Lytechinus pictus: one gene and its partners. The protein of the gene in region 2 interacts with the protein of the main gene of each other region in a biochemical or structural test. Links are inferred from orthologs where the notes say so. Each region holds a gene or a part of one and is shown on either strand. Other genes may lie near its edges.

The links.
Region 1: the proteins of serine/threonine-protein kinase PINK1, mitochondrial-like (region 2) and F-box only protein 7-like form a complex in vitro, tested with the Homo sapiens proteins (2 studies listed by BioGRID, with this or other methods). The link is inferred for Lytechinus pictus from reciprocal best matches to the Homo sapiens genes PINK1 and FBXO7.
Region 3: the proteins of serine/threonine-protein kinase PINK1, mitochondrial-like (region 2) and BAG family molecular chaperone regulator 2-like form a complex in vitro, tested with the Homo sapiens proteins (2 studies listed by BioGRID). The link is inferred for Lytechinus pictus from reciprocal best matches to the Homo sapiens genes PINK1 and BAG2.

The regions. Positions count from the first base shown.
Region 1 is NC_087247.1:58,833,148-58,836,904, reverse strand, and holds the start of F-box only protein 7-like, read left to right. Parts: upstream 1-1,185; 5' UTR 1,186-1,565; coding exon 1,566-1,678; intron 1,679-3,757. UniProt on the Homo sapiens protein: Substrate recognition component of a SCF (SKP1-CUL1-F-box protein) E3 ubiquitin-protein ligase complex which mediates the ubiquitination and subsequent proteasomal degradation of target proteins and plays a role in several biological processes such as cell cycle, cell proliferation, or maintenance of chromosome stability.
Region 2 is NC_087258.1:17,372,487-17,376,243, forward strand, and holds the start of serine/threonine-protein kinase PINK1, mitochondrial-like, read left to right. Parts: upstream 1-1,140; 5' UTR 1,141-1,512; coding exon 1,513-1,932; intron 1,933-2,327; coding exon 2,328-2,621; intron 2,622-3,757. UniProt on the Homo sapiens protein: Serine/threonine-protein kinase which acts as a sensor of mitochondrial damage and protects against mitochondrial dysfunction during cellular stress.
Region 3 is NC_087261.1:47,878-51,634, forward strand, and holds the start of BAG family molecular chaperone regulator 2-like, read left to right. Parts: upstream 1-825; 5' UTR 826-1,124; coding exon 1,125-1,395; intron 1,396-3,757. UniProt on the Homo sapiens protein: Co-chaperone for HSP70 and HSC70 chaperone proteins. Acts as a nucleotide-exchange factor (NEF) promoting the release of ADP from the HSP70 and HSC70 proteins thereby triggering client/substrate protein release.

The DNA of each region.
Region 1 (3,757 bases), on a different chromosome or scaffold from region 2:
AGATATACTGACTTGAAACGGTAACACTTGAACTACTGTTTTCAGTAATACATGAAGAGAATACGTATCTCGTTACATTTGCCTGTCAAATAATGCTAGCGCGAAGCGCTAGATGAATTTATTTTGATATTCAGTACTTTTTGTAAGCATGAACAGAATGCAATGGAAACTCGATTCGCAAGCAAAATAATTTGTGCAAATTGACTTTAAAATTGGATAGGCATATTCTAAGCTCCATGGTATCCTAGTGAGCAGATTACTACATTTCACTTAACAAGGAATGTGAGCGCGAAGTCTGAGCGAAATTTTCTTTTTTATGTAATGTCCCGATATTTTTTTTTATTTTCCAATTATCCCCTCCCCTTATTTCATTCACATTTCTTTTTATTCTTATCTTGTTTTCTCCTCTCTCTCTCTCTTTTTTACATATTTTCTTCTACATGGTGCGAAAGAACTGTTTTGTTGGTTGTCTAGGTTTTCTGATTTTTTTTTATTTTCCATAGTAAAAACTTTCATTTTTGCTATAAAAATATAGGTATTAATATTTCTTTGTTTCAGCTGTTCAGTTTACTTGCTATCTTTATCCTCTTCCTTTCTTTCTTCCTTTCTTCCTCCTTCTCTTTCTTTCTTCCTTCCTTTTTTTCTTTCTCTCTTTTTTTAGGGGGGATCGACCGTCCCCTCCTCCTGAAATTTAGGGGGCGTGTCCCCCTTGTCCCCCCCCCCCCCGCTTCCGTCGCCTAGCATGTCTACATCTTTTAGAAGAGATGGCAAGATCTTGGATCCGAGATTTTGCCATCTGATCATCTCTTGCACAAGATGTAGACATGACGAGATCCAAGATCTTGTCATATGGTGGCACTTTTGGTGGCACTTTTAAGCTTCTATAAACTTGTCACCTGTTTGCCCACATATTTTAAAATTGAGTTTGCGAATTAAAGACACCGTATTGTTTTTCTTTACTGAGCTGCGTTCTTCTTCTTCTTATGTTGGTTTGAGTGGCGATTAGTCATATTTGACTATTGTCGCCATTGACTCTATTAATAAAAAATCTCACTTCTCACATAATGATATTATTACCAATATGATGTATACATATATGAAATATTATTCTTGTGTATCCTTTTAATATTAAAAAGGATAATTATGGTATGTACAAAAGTTTGTCGTAACTCTTGTCAAAATGGCATATAAACAAATCTTCACCAAAAACAAACCGCTATCTTCAGCTCAGTTCCAACTAGTTGCGCTTGCCCTGCCCTTTCAAAGATGCAATCATACCGGTCAGCACGGTACATTGTGCCGATTTTTCGGACATAAATGCCTAGGTCACCCATGCATAGACGAGGGGGCGCTAGTGTACCTGTGCTTACAGATGGGTTAAACATTAAAATAATTTGTTTCTTTTTTTTTTTAAACAACAACAACAACAAGGCGAAAACACTTGTGGGCTTTGTTAGTTATATGTGCAGAACATATCATTTTGTATATTATATCATTTTGTATATTATATATGCGTTCGGTACTTGTGACTCTCCCGTGACTCTGCCCGAAGTCAGGATTAAATAATGAAATTAAGGATAAGACTGGGTGAAAGAACCGATAAAATTGCCATTGGAGATGGAGAAACAAAGGAAGAAACACTTGAACAACTTTCATCTGCCGTTGGTAATGCTCTGAGGTATGTTAAATTTTGGCATGTTTCAAAATGGAATCATCGGCCATTCGGCAGCCTGTTATACAGCCTACAGCCTTACAGGAATCAATTGTGGGAGTCGCCTCATCCTGCGGCCTAACCCAGAGAGCTCCCGCCCGCGTAGCGGGCGGGAGCCCAGAAGCTTACCGTGTATTTTACCATTGTCACCGGACTAGGGTGATTTATGGTCTAAATATTTCTCCAAATGAATTGTGAAAACGGAAAGTATACAATTACCACGATTATATGGATGAAGGTCTAACGAGTGGCAGATTCCTGACATCTGGGCACAGTCTGGAACCTCAAAAAAACGAAAAGTTCTCTCCTTCTACCCAGTCTCGATCGGCCATTTTGTTACGATTTTTAACAAAAATGGCCGATCGAGACGGGGTAGAAGGAGAGAACTTTTCGTTTTTTTGAGGTTCCAGACTGTGCCCAGATGTCAGGAATCTGCCACTCGTTAGACCTTCATCCATATAATCATGGTAATTGTATACTTTCTGTTTTCACAATTCATTTGGAGAAATATTTAGACCATAAATCACCCTAGTCCGGTGACAATGGTAAAATACACGGTAAGCTTCTGGGCTCCCGCCCGCTGTGCGGGCGGGAGCTCTCTGGGTTACCTGCGGCCTAGACCCTGGCCCTGCCGACGTTGCGAGCGACATGCCCAACTCCCGAGGCGAGGCCAAGCTTGCAATCAGTACTGACAGTCTACAACATAACATTTCGCACGGGAATATTGGGCCCCAATCTTGGAATACTTATGCCAAATAGAAGCAAGGCATAATTTTAGCTATAACTTTTTAATGTTATCTAACATTTTTAAAACAATTTTTGCATTGAAACTTTCAATGCAAAAATTGTAAGATAACATTGAAAAGGCAAAATTCATTGTCATTAATTAATGATTATGAATATGATCTCGATTCTCATTTTAGTCAAGTCATGGCATGTTGCACGTACGGTCGTACCTCAGGCACAAGTGATGTTCGTGCAGGCTCCACTTCACTACCGCTACACTACGTTACACCTACTCGAACATCAAGGTCCAAAACTCGCTCTGAGACTGAGTGTGATACTCCGAGTGGCAAAGGTGGGAAAAAATGCATATTTATTGTAAAAATCCTACACAGAAACTAGCCTGAAAAGAATTAGACCAAAAGCTTCGGTCTCTGTTATGTTGGCTGTTCCGCTGAACTCTGCTCTGTTGGCTCCACTAACCAAATACAGTCTTACAGAGACCAAAGTTCTAGCTCAATCTGTACAGGGACTCAATGGCCATATATGTTTATGTACCGTATTAAGTTCGGATAAAACAGGGAAGTGAAGTCGCACGACAGCCGAAGTAAGTCACTGTTTTTTTCCCCCTTTCAAGTTTATTTTTCCCAATTTTGGTGCATTTCAGGCCAAAATGGAATAATAAACTTTCTTTTGGTACAGTTCTTTTCATATGTTTTTATGAAATAAAGACAAAAATCGATGAGCCCCATCGGGGGATTTTGCATTGTTAACCCCCTAATAATGGCTGCACGATAGCGAGCCGTCTGTGTACGAGAAGAAATAATTTTTGTTTTAAATGTTAAAAAACTCGAAACAGACAGCTGCCAGCTGTCTAGAAAAGAATAAGAAGCTTCATTTCTTTTCATCCTAATTTCACTCCATATCCATCCTCCGGTTAGCCTCAAAATTGTTGATTTATAGCCAATATCGAGTTCCTCACATGTACATAAATAATTTGCTGCCGATTTTAAAATATCGCATGCGCATATGCGAGGGTCCGAGCTCAGACCCTCTCGCATATGCGATGTTTTTAAATCGGCAGCGAATTATTACTACGTCTGAGGAACGCGATGTTGGCTCTAAATCACCAATTTTGAGGCTAATCGGAGGATGGATATGGAGTGAAATTAGGATGAAAAGTAAGAAATTAAGCTTCTTATTCTTTTTAAGCTAGTTTCGGTGTAGGATTTTTACAATAAATCTGCATTTTTTCCCACCTTTGCCACTCGGAGTATCAGAGCGAGTTTTGGACCTTGATGTTTGACAGTTCGGGTAGGTGGA
Region 2 (3,757 bases):
CTGCCATAAGTTTGCTTTTCCTGGCCTCCCTTTATCATGTTTATACGGTGAAATTTCAAGAAAGTCTAAGTCGTTCCCATCCATATAAGAAAGTGTTGTCAACTCTTACAAACTACACATTGTGCTTTGTTCTTGCCAATCTCATCATCTTGTCAGACTAACAACGCGGCTTAGGAAGCGAAGAACATATTTCCAGTATTTTTCCTTGAATATAAATCATATTAGGATAGATTTGAATGCTTAGTGATAGCAGAATATTAATTTGAAAAACTTAAATGTTTTCACTGCAGTCAATGTGATAAAATTCAAAATTTCTTGACATTTTCCACATAAGGATACTTGCAGATTTGCTAGCTTTTTTAAATAAAGACATTGAACTTATTTATTCATCATGAATTTTTGTTCAAAATTACTCGCTGTGGACAATCAATTTGTAATCTTTGGATTAATTTCCTCATTTTCTATTTTTAAATGGCTAATTTGCATAATATGCAAATTAATTTTCAGGCATTGGGATGAATTCTCATGCTTAGTGATATAGTAGCATATCAATGTCAACATTAATTAAATGTTTTCAAGCAGTCTATATGAGAAAAATCATAATATCTTGACATTTTTTCTATATAAGGATGCTTATTTGCATAATATGCAAATGAGGTAGAATTTTTTGCACTTTTGATTAAAAACATTGAATTCAGTTATTTATCATGAATTTCCATTCAAATTGAATTGTTTTGGACATTTAATTTGTAATCTTTGGATTATTTCCCTTTTTTTTCTAATTTTTCATGGCTAATTTGTATAATATACAAATTTCATACATTTCCACTGCTTGGATTTCTTGGGAATTTTAGTATGTTGTTTAGGGGACCTTCCTCGAAAGCATTTCAGTGGAATATCTCGTGTTGCAATTAGTGGTGGGTTACCCCCCTATTCTGGCTAGATTGACTGGACTAATAAGTAAGTAAGTACGTAAGTAAGTAAGTAAGCAAGTAAGTAAGTAAGTAAATAAGTACAAACGTTTTGTTTTTAGTAAACAAGAACAGCATTACGGGAATTCCCCTAAATAATCCTTACGTCATTGTCCGTGCCGAATATTATTCTTTTTTCAAAGTCTCGATGATGAAATAAATTTTTCTTGAATATGAAGGAAAAATATAAAAGACATTGTAATGACTAATATATTAAAATTTAACAAAAATTAAACCCAAAGATATTTTATTCAAAACTATTTTGATGTTTCATAAGTCTTGAGAGGGAATGTCCATGAACCCAGTAATCGAAAATGAAAAATTAGACTCGTAATTTAGACCATGCAGTTAGCTTTATCCAACTCTGTGGCTATGGTATACCGAATCTTTAACGACGCAATAACATCGGCTCTTCTGGAGTTTTGTCTTTTAAAGTAAAAATACCTCGAGTATGTGAGTCGTTAAAATATAGCGTTCCAGTATTCTTCTCTGAACTATCCCAAATTCCAACTCTGATAGAAGTATGGAGTATCTGTGAAAAATGTCGCTCCGACACGGCTTACAAACCATAATTCGTGTGGTGCGTCGACGGGTGCAGCAACAAGCACAGCAGCACGCCCACGGACATGCAGGCCGACAGAAGCCCGATGTTGCGATTCCAGATCCCGCTCGACACTACAGTGCTAGACCCAATGTTGTTGCAAGTCCAAAGAAGTCACAGAATCTAGCAAACAGGGCTGCGCAAGTATGGAGATTGACACCGGCTTCGTTGCCTCGGATTCCTCTTGCAAGTGGAATTAGAAATGTTCCATTATCATCAAGACGTCCAGTGTTGCCATTATTGCTTGGGTTTGCAGGAATTGGATTTGTCAACCAAGACCAAGTCCAAAATTCTCGACATGGCGGAGCTGCAACTGCAAGGAATGGCATAGATCTCGATACAGCAATAGAACTTGTGCAGGTACAGATCCCTGTGCTATAGTGTGCTTTCACTCCAGTTAAGTGCCTAACGAAATCAAAGTAGTGTATCCCTTGGCCTAGACTGAAAAATCCGCTGTTCGGAGGAGTTTAAAAAAATATTTTCTGATCCAGGGGATTGATCTATCTATCTATCTATCTATCCATCCACCTAGTAGTATCTACATCATATATCTGTCTGTGTCTGTCTATCTATGTATCTATCTATCTTCTATCTATCTATCTGGATGTGTCTTACATCTTGTCTTGTAACATTGATCTATCTATCATCTGTCTGTCTGTCCGTCTGTCAGTCCATCCATCCATCTATCTATCTGGATGTGTCTTGCATCTTGTCTTGTAACATTGATAAGTCATTGTTTTTATGATATTTTGCAGTCCATCTTCAAGAATAACAGCATTAAACCAGAAGATGATCACATCCCAGACTACCCATCCAAGCTGGCCGGTTATACACTTTCAAAAACCATCATCGCCAAGGGAACAGAAGGGGTGGTCTTCGGTGCGAGGCAGCAAGTTACCCATCCTCCACACGAGGAAGATGAAGAGTTTGCTGACCCCTCTAATGGAAACCACCCCGTGTCCAATGAGTTAACAAATGGAGGGGTTGGACAGCAGCAAAATGAGGAGTTGCCTGTCTGTGATGATAAAGAGTGCAATCTAGCATTAAAGGTTTGTAGATTAAGAGAAAGGAGTTGTTAGTTTCACTCTCAAAGAGTGAAAGTCAATCTTGGCATCAGGTTGGTTGCAATACTATCATGAATCTGTGTAGCTTGCTAAGTGTGCAATCACAAGCGTTGAATATCATTTAAAAACTTTTAAGAGTGCTTAATGTGTTTATTAAAAGCCCAGCGCACACTATGCAATCCGATACGATGCAATTTTTTAATATTAAACCTTGTTTTGCATTAAATATGAAAGTACTAAGAAGTAAAAGTATTGTATTTAAAGTTCGGCCTAGTGTTAGGAATAATAAGATCATAATTATACTTTGCGGCAAGCCCTTTGTTCAGAGAAATGTCTAAATCAGCTTCAAGTTGCAGCCGATGATGACGTCATTAAGATTTGTCAATTGAATTTGACTGAATTTCGATTTTAGCTATTCCTACAAATATTCTGAGCTCTGATTGATGAGATTTTATTGGTTGGAATGTTCTAATCAAATGTTATTATAATTTCTTTGAAATTTGGATCGCATTGTGAATGCTAGGCTTAAAAATTATTAAGTTTTAATACATTTACTGCATGAAGCTAGTCAATGAAAATGTTCTTGTAAGAATAGAAATGTGGAAAATTACAAGAATATCTTACTTTACAGTAAGGAGCCTTTGCCATATCTACAGGCAGGTTTAAAAAAGTACACCCCAACAAAAGTTGATTTGAATGAAATAGAGAAAAAATCAAACAAGCATAATGATGAAATTGTTATAGATGGAATATAGAATACGAAAATGATGACATTTTAGTAATTAGTTTCACAAAATCGTTATATGCACATCCTGGGCGCCAGTGGGTGGTATGTAAATTAGGGAAACTTAAATGACATTCATCATATCTTTATGTATAAATTTATAATTTAACTGTATTGAAAGATGTAATTTCTTCTTTATATATAAATGAACCTACTTTGATTCCTCCCACAACACATGGAATTGCTATTGTTATAACCTGTAATCATTTAAACATAGAGTTTCTTTATTTTCAAATGATGCAAAAATAGAAATATTGAATTCAAACAACAAAATACCAAACAAGTAGTGTGTCACATCATTAACTTTCTCATTTGCCTATATCTGTGATGTAAATTT
Region 3 (3,757 bases), on a different chromosome or scaffold from region 2:
CGAAACTTTAAAATGTCATAACTTTCCTATATCCGATTTTGATGAAATCGATTGTTGGATTTTTCTCTTTTGATTCAAATCAACTTTTTGTTGGGGTGGACTTTTCCTTTAATGAAATTTTATTTAAATTTTGAGTGGATTCCGGCAGTGTGATATATGTTAACCGCAACGAGACCGTTGATAAGACCGCCTTTACCAAGAGAGGAGCTACGAAAACTTCTTTGTAAACATTGTTTTACCAAGCGCTATAAATGATATTACATGCTTACGCTTGACATAAATTATTATAAAGGTATCTAGCAAGCAGATTGGAATGCTTCTGAAAATGCCGCTATATGATAATGTTTTTTAGCAGGCAAGGTTTTTCTCGGAAAGAGGAAATTCTCCTTCATCATATTAGAGTTAGTAAGTACAAATTAAACTATTATGTGTTTCAAATTAACCATATTCACCAGGCCTCTGTGAGGTGTGCAAAGTTTTTGAAACTATTGAACGTATATTTTATTTTGTTCAAAATATGAAAAAGAGATACGCTTATGTTTAATAATGATTATCATGCGTATAGCATTTCCATTTATTTGATTACATGATAGAAGAGCAATGTCGAATACATTCCTTGCTCACGGGCAATCATTTCTCATTTCTTACACGCGTTATTTACAATTATGTATTTTGGAATATTATATTGGATTGTAATTTTGTAGGACCTACAAAGTCAATGCGAGATGCGTCGCATTGATTTTTCTTTGACGACGACGTCCTACTTACCAAATTAATGCGACTGGCGCATATAATCTGGAAAGATCAAGATTGAAGAGCGCCATCATATTCAACAACAACAACACCAACAATTACGCAAGAAAGAGAAGTCGGCCTACTGCTGGACCTGGCTAAATTAGGGACTTCAGACTTCAATCGGTTTCGAGACGAAAATCATAAGACATCTACTATTAATAAGGAAATCAGCGGAATTCTCGTCATAAAATTTGTGAATCCTTTTCTGGTAGTAATTGGAGGATCTTTTCCATGCGTACAGACAGATAATCCAGCGTAGCCCGTCTGAGTTTGATAGTTTCTGAGCCGCGGCTGCTATCGCCTTATCGGGGTGGATCGGGCGGAACGCGATGGCCTGTATCGCTGGCAGTGGACGTGAGGTTGAAGAGAAGAAGGCCCAAAATGAGATGATACCTCCCTCTCCAAATAATTTTACAGATGATCATGATGGTGGAGGAGGCAAGCAGGCCAATGAATATCTGTTAAAGACTTTGGATGCTTTGGAAGTTCGTGTTGAGAAAATGAGGGAGACGGCCAGATCAATTGATGATGAAAAGACTCGTTTGTTGGACTCTCTAAACACAATGATGCAGAGCGAGGCTATTGATCATCTCTCAGAAGGTAGTTTGGTTATTTTGAATTCTTTATAGGGATAGTGCAAGGCTATTTCATGGGTAACCCAGGGAGCTCCGACTCGCTTTGCGTGCCGGAGCCCAGGAGTCGACCGTGCAAAACGAGGGAGCCACGGGACTGGGGTAGATTGAGGTCTCAATAGTAATTTAGTATGATGGTGGGCCCCACTCACACTATTGCGAGGTTAGTATGCTATACGAACCTCGCACAACCAACGTGTTTTTGTAGTGGATTTTAGAGTTGTCGTTACCATCGCTTCATAACGTGAATGATGTTAGCCGAAACCCATTCCGCTACTCACCATGGCTTTTTCTGGTAGAAAGCGTTCCATTATCAATTTTTAACATATTTTTTTAATTTAAAAAGGACACAAAAAAGAGCAAAATCGCTTATCTCCGCCTGGAAAGTATTTTTGCTGACGATAATACTTTTTGGAAAATATTCAAAACGATGACAAATTAAACAAAAAATATAGAAAATTCTATGTACCTTGAACAAAGCCCCGCAAGTGCTACCGTTCGTTTGTCATTTAACGTTCAACCAAAGTCTTTACAGTAAAAAGATTGAACACTTTGCCGACTTCGCGTAACGCTTTGCATCGATTTACGTGTAAGATAATTTCTGTGTCTAGTCTTTTAATTGTAGTGTCTTTGATATGAAGATAAATCGCGTGCCCTCTTTCGCTCATTAGACAAAAAATTTGAGAGCTAAAAAGGTAGCTCTCGTATTTTGTCAACGAGAAGAAAAATCAACGCTTAAATGACGCATTTTGAGGGATATTCATCAAATTATGAGGAATTGACTTCACATCGTTTCGTAAGTTTCGTAGTCCTGAGGACTTCATTCTGTAAGTCCTCGTATTAATTTTTCGTAAATTAATGTTATTTGTTGAATGCGCCGTGCCTTCAATTATTCTGTAGTCGGCGGCTGAGATGTAGCCGTGGGTGGGTGGGCCCCAAGTCTGCGCACCTAACAATTTGAGTTCAGATTTAACATGAATTTCTTCTTATTTCACAAAATCTTTCAGTCAATAATTATATAATATTGACTGGTCTTGAGGGGAACATCAAATATATTGCCAGCAAAAGAATCATATTGGCCCAAGTCTTTAGACGAGGGCAATATGGGTCTTTTAAGGGCAATATATTTGATGTTCCCCGAAAGGAGGGCAGTCAATATTTTTATTATCATCCAAACCAAGATTTGCAAGAAGATACTGATTTCTTTTCTATTTTTTATGACTTGACTTAATTGTGATTGTAAACACCTATGTTTTCGTGATGTAATTGCCACAAAATTTTCGTAATTGGACTGATCTAGAGGGAGAAACAGCAAATCTGCATTGCCGAACGCTCAGCGTTTGAACGTATTATATATATTCTCTCAGTCCCATATGTACTTTTGATCGTCACATATATCCGTGTGTATATTGCTCCCGACTAAGGTTTACGTTCGCTTCGGTGTCCGATCATGGCGGGTAAGGGGGATGGCGCCAGAGTGAAGTGCACCCCTAAAAGCAAGAAAAAGGTGAAACATACCAATCCAAATGATTCTGAATGTGATATAGCTGATGACACTGTAACGATTGATATGTCTGAACATTCACCTAATGATGATTATCACCTTCAAACAATTCTCACTAAATTACTCAAAACAAAAGAATTAATGAAAACAATGGAGACTGTCTGTAAAGAAACAATGGATAAAGTAGTGAATGTTCAATGTGAAAACATGCGTCGCCACATAGAAGAAAATGAATCAGCCAACATTCAACTTCAAAATTCTTTGGAGAGTAAAGAAAAAGAAACATATATTCTGGAGAAACAGCTACAGAATGAAATCGAGAAAAGAGAAGACGTGGAGCGCCAATTGAATATTCTCGAGCAGTATACAAGGAGAAACAGCATTATAATTTTTGGTGTGAAAGAGAAAATAGGTGAAGATACCGATCAAATAGCAATTGACATTGCCAAGGATCAGCTTGGGTTCAAGTTGAAAAAACACCACATCGATCGATCCCATCGAGTAGGTCAAAAAGATCCAACCAAGGCTAAACCCATCATCGATAAATTGTGTTCCTACAAACAGAAGACGCAATTTATGAAAGCGAAAAAGACATTGAAAGGGAGTGGAATTTCTATTCAAGAAGATTTGACACTGACAACCCTCAAACTCCTCAAGAAGACAAGCCAACACAAAAATGTAAACGCGGCATGGACAAGTGATGGCCGTGTTATCGCCTTGGTTAAAACGACAGATCCTAACACTTCAATGAAGAAACAAATCTTCAGAGAAAGTGACCTTCTTGCCTTATAAACTCTTTTAACGCTACAGTTTGTCTATTCCCTAT